Callithrix jacchus: one gene and its partners. The protein of the gene in region 3 purifies or fractionates together with the protein of the main gene of each other region. This does not show direct contact. Links are inferred from orthologs where the notes say so. Each region holds a gene or a part of one and is shown on either strand. Other genes may lie near its edges. The genes, in order: PRKAR1A, PPP2CA and GSK3B.

What was found.
Region 1: the proteins of GSK3B (region 3) and PRKAR1A purify together in Homo sapiens (affinity purification with mass spectrometry; 3 studies listed by BioGRID and IntAct, with this or other methods). This does not show direct contact. The link is inferred for Callithrix jacchus from reciprocal best matches to the Homo sapiens genes GSK3B and PRKAR1A.
Region 2: the proteins of GSK3B (region 3) and PPP2CA purify together in Homo sapiens (affinity purification with western blotting; 3 studies listed by BioGRID, with this or other methods). This does not show direct contact. The link is inferred for Callithrix jacchus from reciprocal best matches to the Homo sapiens genes GSK3B and PPP2CA.

The regions. Positions count from the first base shown.
Region 1 is NC_133506.1:124,604,234-124,607,884, forward strand, and holds part of PRKAR1A (cAMP-dependent protein kinase type I-alpha regulatory subunit), read left to right. Parts: intron 1-607; coding exon 608-766; intron 767-2,585; coding exon 2,586-2,646; intron 2,647-3,615; coding exon 3,616-3,651. UniProt on the Homo sapiens protein: Regulatory subunit of the cAMP-dependent protein kinases involved in cAMP signaling in cells.
Region 2 is NC_133503.1:74,131,556-74,135,206, forward strand, and holds part of PPP2CA (serine/threonine-protein phosphatase 2A catalytic subunit alpha isoform), read left to right. Parts: coding exon 1-51; intron 52-1,201; coding exon 1,202-1,291; intron 1,292-1,778; coding exon 1,779-1,940; intron 1,941-3,420; coding exon 3,421-3,539; intron 3,540-3,651. UniProt on the Homo sapiens protein: Catalytic subunit of protein phosphatase 2A (PP2A), a serine/threonine phosphatase involved in the regulation of a wide variety of enzymes, signal transduction pathways, and cellular events.
Region 3 is NC_133516.1:82,767,591-82,771,341, forward strand, and holds the start of GSK3B (glycogen synthase kinase-3 beta), read left to right. Parts: upstream 1-982; 5' UTR 983-2,019; coding exon 2,020-2,107; intron 2,108-3,751. UniProt on the Homo sapiens protein: Constitutively active protein kinase that acts as a negative regulator in the hormonal control of glucose homeostasis, Wnt signaling and regulation of transcription factors and microtubules, by phosphorylating and inactivating glycogen synthase (GYS1 or GYS2), EIF2B, CTNNB1/beta-catenin, APC, AXIN1, DPYSL2/CRMP2, JUN, NFATC1/NFATC, MAPT/TAU and MACF1.

The DNA of each region.
Region 1 (3,651 bases), on a different chromosome or scaffold from region 3:
ACAGACATGAGCCACTGCTCCTGGCCTAATAGAGGTTTCTTATTCACAAATGAAGAGGGAGAAGATCAGGAAAAATACCTCTTATGTACTTTGCTTACTACCTGGGTGACAAAATTATCTGAACACCAAATCCCTGTGATACCCAGTTTACCTGTATAACCTACACATGTACCCCTGAGCTTAGAAAAAAAAAAAAAACTTATGGCAAAGATAAGTCTGAATTTTAGAAAGACTGGACACCAATAGCATTGATTTTTTAGGATTATTAGGAAATTCAGTGACCTAATGCAAGTAAAATGCTTAGCATAGTGCTCAGCACAGTTCTTTAAATATATATGACTGGTATTAGTGCTGAGCCAACCTTTTTCCCTTACATCCTTACAGAGTGCTTTTTTTCTTACCAGATAATTAAATCAGGTAAATTATAAAGACACTTATTTAACCCATCAGAAATCAATTATTCTCTGATGTGTACTGAAAACATAATATATTCTGTTTTTTAAAACAAAGTTCAGGATTGTGATCTTTTAAAAAGCTTTGAGGGTTTTTAACATTTATGTGTTTGTGTATCTAGAAAAAAACTTTTTTGCTGTCACTTGCACTTTAGGTCTATGTCAACAACGAATGGGCAACCAGTGTTGGGGAAGGAGGGAGCTTTGGAGAACTTGCTTTGATTTATGGAACGCCTAGGGCAGCCACTGTCAAAGCAAAGACAAATGTGAAATTGTGGGGTATCGACCGAGACAGCTATAGAAGAATCCTCATGGTAAGAGATCATAGCGTTTGAGAGTGTGATTTAGAATTCTCATCTATGTAACTCATGTTTGAATATTACCAAATTAAAATCAGAATGTTTCTTATAATGAGAAAATACTTTGCATTAAGCCCAGCTTAGCATTATTCATTATGCCATTTTAGACAGTGATATTTTAGAAGAAAAGCTTGGGAAACAAGATCTGGGTATATGTGCCAGTCAGCTCATGTTTGGAAATCTGTGCATTTGCTGGTAGGCACTTCTTAATTTGCCTAATTTTACCCATCACAGATAGCCTGATAGGTGTTGCTTTTAAGGGCCTAATGTTATTTGGGGCCATTCAGACATAATCAGCTTCCCTAACCTATGAAAGTGGGTTATCAGTAATGCATATGTATGTCACATCCCCGCTTGTTAAAGGAATAAACAAACTAATTGGAACATTCTGGTGATACAGTCAGACTTTCGGAGAACTTTGTGATGAATTTATAGAATAGCTTTGGATGTTTAAGTCCCAGCCAATGCATTAGTCATTTTGAATGGTTTTCATTTGAAAATGTACAGTCTGATGTACTTTGAAATTTTTCTGCATTTGGGATATATATATAGATTAGATAGATAGTCTTGTCCTTTGCAGCAACACAGATAGAACTAGAGACTATTTTTCTAAGCAAACTAACACAGGAACGAAAACCAAACCAAACGTTCTCACTTACAAGTGGGAGCTAAACAATGTGAACACATGGATACTAGAGGAGGAACAATAGACACTGGGGCCTACTTGAGGTGGGAAGAGGGAGATCAGGAAAAATACCCCTTATGTACTTTGCTTACTACCTGGGTGACAAAATTATCTGAACACCAAATCCCTCTGACACCCAGTTTACCTGTATAACCTACACATCTACCCCTGAGCTTAGGGGAAAAAAAAAAAAAACTTATGGCAAAGATAAGTCTGAATTTTAGAAAGATTGGTTTTGAAATGATGCGATGGTATACTGAAGAAGAAATTGATCATACAGTTCTGATTTTCTCTGCAGGAATACTGTTAGTAAAAGGAAATGTAGAGTGTTTACAGCTTTATCTCATTGCCAAGGAAGAGTAGGACCTAGAACTATTGGTTTGAAATAAAATACTTTACTTTCTCATAGTGGGCCTGAAAGGTAGTTAGGGCCTCACAGTGCCTTGGCTTTGTGGACAGGAATTAGGGACTATAGATATGGGGTGAAATATCTATATATCTGGGTAGGGGAGGGTATGGTCCTTTTTTATAGAATAAAGAAATGTCAGTTTTATAGGTGAGAAGCCAAAACTAATGGAGGAATCTGCATCTAAATATCAGTGTTGAACAGGAAGAACACTAGGATTAATGGGACGTAAATGAAGACTTAGATCAATTTTGTGAGAAAATATTTTCAGAGATAGATTGAGTTGTCAGTGGCGCAAAATCAGTTTGAGAGTAAACATGGAAATTGTGCATTGGTGTAAAGTGTGTGGAAAAATATCTTGGGTGATACACTCAGGTATAAACCGGTATTTCTACTGTATTTGAAAGTTGGGAAATGCTTTGTGAAATATGTCAGCATACTGGTTACAGATGCTGGGAATTGGGCATAATATTGGCAGAAAATATAAATCACAAGAATGTCATTTTATATCATTACCTGTAAAATAAAAATCAGTTAAAATTAAGTTTTCTTCATTAACAAAAAGCAGCAACAAGCTTTGACTTTCTGGTTTTAAAATTTATGTGAAACTTAATATTTATTCCATAGTATTATGTGGTGATAATTGCATGTCTTGGGAATATCACTTTTGTTTTTATTTTTAGGGAAGCACACTGAGAAAGCGGAAGATGTATGAGGAATTCCTTAGTAAAGTCTCTATTTTAGGTGAGTTGTAAAGTGTGTTGACTGCTAGTATATGAAATACCCCTGAATTAAAATTGGTTGGACTTGGGAAGAGACTTCTGAAAGTATCATTGCTACTCCTTCCCCCTTAAGAGAAAGAAGGGCTGAAAGTCCTGCAGACTGGACATTCAGTTATTTTCTCTCTGACTTCTGTCTCTTGTTCTATCATTGAGTTGATAGGTTCAGAAAAGTGAGTACTTCCAAGAATATGTTTCCTCTGTGGAAAGATTAGGTGTCATTTGCTAGCATCATCATCTGAAAACATACCAGAAGTTTGTTGAAATTTAGAGTAAAGCAGATTAATTGAAGATAATCTTTTGTGCATTTTGTTATGGGGACTTGGAGATGTTGTTAGCACTTGTTCTTCACAAAGGGGGAATGGGGATTTTTATAAGATAACAGGCTTCCACCATTGTTTCTTACAGTTAATTGACTGCCCCCCCCACCCATTTGTCTTTTCTTTGAATTGGTTACATTTACTTTGTGTTTGGATCGTAGTTTGGCCTTTGGGAATAAAAGTTATTTTCTAGTTCTTGTTTCATAAAGTTAACGGAGGATTTAAGTAGATTAAATTATTTTGACGAAACTTTGGAATGATATGGATGGGAAACTATAACTTTTGAGTATTGTAGTTGTGGGTTTGATTTGCACTGATGGCAATCTTCAGGAATACTTAATGATTACGTTTTCTTACTCCTTTGCCATTGGGTACAGTTGGTATAAATTAACCTGGCCACTGGGACTGAAGTAAGGATCTAAGGGCTATCTGCAGGTAATATGAGAATCCTGCTCAGCCTAGAGGTAATTGAAGACAGGCACCATGTTTAATCTGAGACACTACTAGAATGTTGAATGGGCATGGCTGTTTGGTTGAATCTCTTTATACTTTCTTTGTACCTTCATGGTAGCACCAAATAATACAGAGCAATTCTTTTGATTCTTGTCTTTTAGAGTCTCTGGACAAGTGGGAACGTCTTACGGTAGCTG
Region 2 (3,651 bases), on a different chromosome or scaffold from region 3:
TTTACAGATCTTTTTGACTATCTTCCTCTCACTGCCTTGGTGGATGGGCAGGTATGTGGATCTTAAAACTCCTTGCTGGTTATTTCAGACTCTGCTTTCTTTAATGTTGAGGTGCTCATGACCCTTTCCACTCTTTCTTTCTCTCCTTCCTTCCTTCCTTCCTTCCTTCCTTCCTTCCTTCCTTCCTTCCTTCCTTCCCTTCCTCCCTCCCTCCCTCCCTCCCTCCCTCCCTCCCTCCCTCCCTCCTCTCTCACCCAGGCTGAAGTGCAGTGGTACACACTCTGCTCACTGCAACCTCCACCTCCCTGGGTTGAAGCAATTCTCTGCCTCAGCCTCCTGAGTAGCTGGGATTCCAGGTCCCCGGCTAATTTCTTTGTATTTTTTTTAGTAGAGACAGCATTTCATCATCTTGGCCAGACTGGTCTTGAACTCCTGACCTTGTAATCCACCTGCCTTGGTCTCTCAAAGTGCTGAGATTACAGGTGTGAGCCACTGTACCCAGCTGACTCCACTCTTACACCACTTTGGGAATATAGTTTAGTAGAAATTGATAACATTCATTCAAACTTTAAAAAAATTTTAATCTGACAAATAATTGTGTCCGGTTTTTTAAGTGCATTATTATTTATATCAGGCACTGAACTATATGGTGGGATCACAGAGGTGGATGGTGTAACCCGTATATCCTCTCAGACTGTTTTTGGACAAGCCTGGGAGATGTAAGGAGCTAATTATTGGTTTAGGTAGATGTGTACACAAAAGAACTTACAAGAAAATTTTTTGAGTGTGAAGACGTTAGTGTCTGGCAGGGAGTAGGAGTAATATCCAAGAAGTTTTCTCAAAGGAGCTGTTAAAGGTGGAGTCTGGGTGTGACAGCAATGGTCTGTTAGGAAGAATGGGAGTGTACTCAGTAGTTCAGAGTGGGCTGGAGCAAAGATGTACCCTGCAGAGTCAACCCTCATTCAGGCAGAGCTCAGAAACACCAGTGGGGCCCAGTGATGGGGGCACCCAGCTCAGTTTTTTAAAATTTTATAGAGACACAGGGTCTTGCTGTGTTGCCCAGGCTGGTCTCAAACTCTGGGCCTCAAGCAGTCCTCCTCCCTCAGCTTCCGAAAGGGTTGCAGGCATGAGCCACTGTGCCCAGCCAAGAATGTTTACCAATTTTTTAGGTGAGGTTAACATTTTAAACCACTCGTTTCAGATATTCTGTCTACATGGTGGTCTCTCGCCATCTATAGATACACTGGATCATATCAGAGCACTTGATCGCCTACAAGAAGTTCCACATGAGGTATGACTTTTATTTGATAATACGTTTTCTGAAAAGATTTTAGGGAGTGGAGAAGTTTAATTGTAAGTTAGTTCATTATATGTATTCTCTCATTTAATTCTCAAAAACAACTTGAGGTGTGAGCATTCTTTCTGCCCTGTTCAGAAGAAGCTGACATTAAGAAATCTGCCAAGATCACAATAGCTATGGAGCTTGGTTTATTAGGACCTAGGTTGTCTGTTTCATAGCTCTGAAATTTGCATAATATAGGCAGATTAATAGGGCATGTTGCTGTTGGGTCCCATGGATGTCAGCTGTGTCTCATAAAGACTGCTAGAAAATACATCTTATTTGATGCAGATGTGTGACTTCAGTTGTACAATCTATTAGCATTTTCCACAAACATCACTCAAAAAGGGTGACTTAGGTGCTGCTTCTGTTAAATTACTCAAATACTGTGTTAACCATGTTTGTTAAAGGCAGTTTATAACTTGAAGTTACTTTTTAGGGTCCAATGTGTGACTTGCTGTGGTCAGATCCAGATGACCGTGGTGGTTGGGGTATATCTCCTCGGGGAGCTGGTTACACCTTTGGACAAGATATATCTGAGACATTTAATCATGCCAATGGCCTCACGTTGGTGTCTAGAGCTCACCAGCTAGTGATGGAGGTATGCTCTGTTCTTTGAAATACGACTTGCTTCTTAGTAAACTTAAGGAAAGATATTAGGGAATTTTAAATTAATGACTTGTGAGAAATTCCATTTATTCCTTCTGATGAGTTTGCCGTTACAGCCTGAGCCTTTTCAGTAGATGGCACACAAGAATTAAAAGCTCAAGCTTTTGATTACAATTAATTAACCATTAACATGTTTTCAGAGAATTCTGAATGGAAGTGCTTTGGGATTTAAGAGTGGGAAAGTAAGATGTAGGGAGTTGGAGTGTGTGTATAATATTTTATTATCCCACTGTTTATTCCATATATTTAACATGTATGTGTGTAGGAGAGACTGGAAAGAAATACACTAAAATGTTTTAAATGGTCCTTTGGTTAGTAGGATTACAGGTGATTGGAAAGAGACTAGTGTTCCTTTTTTTTTTTTTTGAGATGGAGTCTAGCTCTTTTGCCAGGCTATAGTTCAGTGGCGCCATCTCGGCTCACTGCAACCTCCACCTCCCAGGTTCAAGCAATTCTCCTGCCTCAGCCTCCCAAGTAGCTGGGATTACAGGCATGTACTGCCATGCCTAGCTAATCTGTGTATTTTTAGTAGAGACGGGGTTTCACCTTACTGGCCAGGATGGTCTCGATCTCCTGACCTTGTGATCCACCAACCTTGGCCTCCCAAAGTGCTGGGATTACAGGCGGGAGCCACCGTGCCTGACCAAGGCTAAGGTTCTTGACATGGCACACTGATGAGCATATTTTAAAAAATAAAGTCCTAATTAGTTTAATACTAGTATAACTCTGTGGGTATTGATAAAATCTGACTTTGCTAAAGATAAATTTGTGAACAGTACTAAACAAAAAGTAACAGAAGTAGCTCGTACATTCAGATGGATGGACTTTGAGGAAGCAAGGCTGGAAAGACTAGAGGCATGTCTCATTTGTTCCTGGGCAGTGAACCACACACTAATAGGCCTTTACCTATGACAAGAAAATTAGTGAGGTTATGGTCTCCAGGATTAGGTGTCTACCTCTCTAGGGAATGGCCACATAAATACTTATTCTTAAATCAGGTTTTAAGGCCACTGCAGTAGAAGAGGCTAATGAGACACTACCATTTTCAGCAAGTCAGATGCATAAGAAGCAGTTTATTCTTCGGTGGTTGGTGTTGTTTGTTAAAGGCTTTTTTTTTTTTCCTTTTTAGTACTAAAAAACTGAGTTTTATAATTAGGGGAAAAACAAATACATGTGTGTCTTACAGGTTGTATAAAAAGGGTTATTTACAGATTGTATAAGGGATATTTACAGGTTGTATGAAAAGGGATTATTATTACCGCAAATTCATAAGTCATCCAGAAAAAAAGCATTAATGTTTCTTAAGCCTCTTTGGCAGGGGTGGGAATGAGTAGAGATTTTCCCTTGAGTGAAGTAACATTTAGTTGTAAATAAGGGAGTAAAGTAAGATATTTATCTCATTTTCCTTGTAGGGATATAACTGGTGCCATGACCGGAATGTAGTAACGATTTTCAGTGCTCCAAACTATTGTTATCGTTGTGGTAACCAAGCTGCAATCATGGAACTTGATGATACTCTAAAATACTCTTTGTAAGTACTTCTACCTGCCTGAACAGTTGATTGAATTGGTAAATATGTAGGTTTTTATTTTGTTTATTTTTTGAGAGAGGGTGTCACTGTATTTACCCAGTCTTGTCTTGAA
Region 3 (3,751 bases):
GGTGCGCCGAATTGGCCCCGCCCGGCCGAGAGCCTCCTGTGGGTGAGGAAAGCCCCTCGACCCCTCTGCTCGCTGAGCGCTCAGACCCCAGCACTGCCGACCATAGTACTTTCCGACTTGCTAGGCAGGGGACCCGCGGTCTCCACCGTTGCTGGAGGCGGCAGTTGCCTAGCCGTCAGGCCGTCAGCCACTACCCCAGTCGGGCTTCTCCCCGCTCCCTGGGACCAAGGCCGAAGGCCAATCACACTGCAGCTAGGTCTTGCGATTGAACGGCAGTGAGAGCCGATTGGCCACCGTTGCGGGTTTCGGGTTCCCTCCCTCTCCCTTTTGCCCCAACTCCAGCGCCTAAGCTTCAGGCCAATGAGACGGCGCTTTATAGGCGCCCTCCCTTCGCTTTCTTCTCCCCACCTTGGAGAAGGAGGAGAAGTCCTGACTGGCTAGACTGTCCTCGGAAGCCCCCTTTCCTTCACCAATCACCAAGGGCGGTACGCTCCCAGTGGAGTTTTCCAACCAATTACAAAGCGGTGGCGGCGCCCAGCCGTGCAGTTTCACCAGCGTCTCCGGGTTTCACCGTCCTCAACTCTTCAAGCGTTTTCATGAGGCCGGCGATTCTGATTGGCCCCAGTTGCCATTGTCGAATGTCTCCTCTAGCCAGCCCTTTCCGTACGGCTACCTTCGGCATTTTCCGCTCTTTGGGCGTGGTTTCCCATCGACATTTTCTAATTGGTTTCTCAGGCCGATCGGCTTCATCCGGGAGGAGTCGCAAACAAACGACGTCCGCGATTGGCTCTTTTCGGGCTTCGGCTCCAAGCCGAAGCGGGCGAGCGCGGGGCTCGGCCGGCGATTCCCAGACGCCTGTTACGCGGGCGGCTGGACGCTGGGCGGTGTAAGGCTGGGTGGGGGAGGAAGGAGGTGGAGGACGAGTAGGAGGGGGGAGGAGGGAGTGGGGAAGTGCAAGGCGGCTGCGCAGACAGCGCTCCTCACACAGAGCAGCCCCCGACCCGGGCGAATGCGGGCTTGTACCGCCGCCGCCGCCGCTGCCGCCGCCGCTGCCCGGGCCGAGTGACAAAGGAAGGAAGGAAGGAAGCAAGGAGGAGCCGGCCCCGCAGCCGCTGACAGGGCTCTGGGCTGGGGGCAAAGCGCGGACACTTCCTGAGCGGGCACCGAGCAGAGGCGAGGGGCGGGGGGGGCGGGAGGGCGGCCGCGCTGGTGCCGCGGACGGGGGAGGGGGCCCCGAGAGACGGAAGCGGTTGCCGGGTTCCCATGTCCCTTGCGTATGGGGAGCAGTCGAGGAGCCGCTGCCTGGGGTCTGAAGGGAGCTGCCTCCGCCACCGCCACCGCCGCCGCCATGGCCGCTGGATCCAGCCGCCGCCTGCAGCTGCTCCTGGCGCAATGAGGAGAGGAGCCGCCGCCACCGCCACCGCCCGTCTCTGACTGACTCGCGACTCCACCGCCCTTCAGTTCGCCGGGCCCCCGCCGTCAGCCCGCCGGATCCCGCGGCTGCCGGAGCTGCAGCGTTTCCCGTCGCCTCTCCGAGCCACCCCCTCCCTCTCCCTCCCTCCTTCCCATCCCCCTTTCTCTTCAAGCGTGAGACTCGTGATCCTTCCGCCGCTTCCCTTCTTCATTGACTCGGAAAAAAATCCCCGAGGAAAATATAATATTTGAAGTACTCATTTTCAATCAAGTATTTGCCCCCGTTTCATGTGATATATATTTTTTTAGGATTTCCCCCCTTTTTTCTCCTCCCAAGAAAAGAAGGGGAAAGAATTGTATTTTTTTCCCCAGCCCTAAATCATCTATATGTTAAATATCCGTGCAGACCTATCTTGAAGGAAAAATACATCGCTCTTTTTTTTTATAGTATACAAAAGGAGTGGAAAGCCGAAAGGACGAGTCTGTTTCTTTTTCTTCTGTGGGAGGACTTAATGCTGCATTTATTATTAACCTAACACCCCAACATAAAGACAAAAGGAAGAAAAGGAGGAAGGAAGGAAAAGGTGATTCGCGAAGAGAGCGATCATGTCAGGGCGGCCCAGAACCACCTCCTTTGCGGAGAGCTGCAAGCCGGTGCAGCAGCCTTCAGCTTTTGGCAGCATGAAAGTTAGCAGTGAGTATTGATTTTATTTTACACTCCTTTTCCGCCTCGCCCTTAGAAACCTCGGAATACCAGAATCTGAAAATAATAGACCTCTTCATAAAACAGTCAAACAGGTAATGCAAAAGAGCAAAACCTGTCTTCAGTCAAGAATGAAGCAGCTCCCTCTCTTCTTCTCCCATACCCCCTCCCTCGGTCTCATTAACCTTGAATTGAGAGAATATGATTTTTATTTGGACGATTCGATTTGAAACTGCTTTCTTTTCGTATACTTTCTTGCTGTTGGTAGTTAGTTTCATCAAGTGCTTGAGTGTTTCCACGTTATATTAGTGATGACAGTGTTTACTTGCTCATCCTTTAGAATAAAGAGGACAAGATTTGATTCATAAACCATTATGTACGTTTGCAGAACGTATGCCTTTTGGAATGAGTGAGGGTATTTTAGGTCTCAGGGGTTATCATAGTTTGGTATACTTTATTGAAACGTGAAATGTCCCACTCTCCCAACATTTTTTTCTTGTCTGTATGACTATACATAATATTCTTAATCTGTGGATGAACTTCCTCAGTAACCATTCACATTTGGAGACTGGCATTGATTTCTCCCTTTAGAAGGGACCAGTGGGAGCCAATAAATACCCAGCAGCAGTAGCATCTCTGTATGCATTGTCTTCAATTTGGATAAGTGGTTTGATGTGTTATCTCTTAAACTCCTGTTTTGACATTATCAACCTGCCACTGTATAATTATTTAATCAAAAGGTAACTTGGAAATATTAATAGGTCCAAGTTTTGTTTGTTTTGTCATCGTGCCAAATACTAAGTTAAATGTTGTCACTGGCTCATTATCATTTAAGTTAAATTTTGGAGTGCTGTTGCATTCATTACCTGTTAAATGTTCTGTAGTACAGGGGGGTTCCTTAAAAAGGACATTTAAAATACTCTTGCGTTAGTTACCACCTCATTTAGGTAACACTGGATTTAGTTAGAAGAATGTGGATTTAGTCCTTTCCATTTTGGCTTTTGCAGATGGCTGTGGTCCTAGAAATAATAGGGATATTTGGGCTGCGTTCAAGGTTGTGGATACATTGTACTCTCGTCCTGGGTTTGGGCTGAAAAGTATGCTCTTGAAGTGTTTAGTATATACCAAGTATCTAATGTTCCAGTGTATCTCTGTTTGTGGAGCTGTTCATGTGGTATTTAATGATAGCTTGTTTAAACATACTTCCAGAATTTAACAAAAATATCTATATTGTTTCCTTATTGTGGAAAAGAGGGGCATGATAAGGGCAAAGACAAGTTATTTTGTATCCTAGAAGAACTAAAGAACTGAGATTTTAAGAACCCCCCCCCCCAAATGTATGTTATGTGAAATTGATTATATCTTTAGGCAACATAAAATGATCACTTTTAGTTGAACTCAGCGTTTCAATTCATGTTGGCTTTGGGAACTAGCCTGAAACAGGATAGTCTAGGTAATAGCTGAATTGGAGATTATTTTTGAAAGTTAAATTTTTTTTTTTAGGTGTCTTGCAAATGAATGCTGGGGTAGGTAAAGAGGAAAGCTGATTATGCATATTTCAGGGAAGGGTCCTGCTTTCTAAGTACTTCATGGGGTCATTTGAAAAATATTTTTAAATTCCAGGGTAATTTTCAG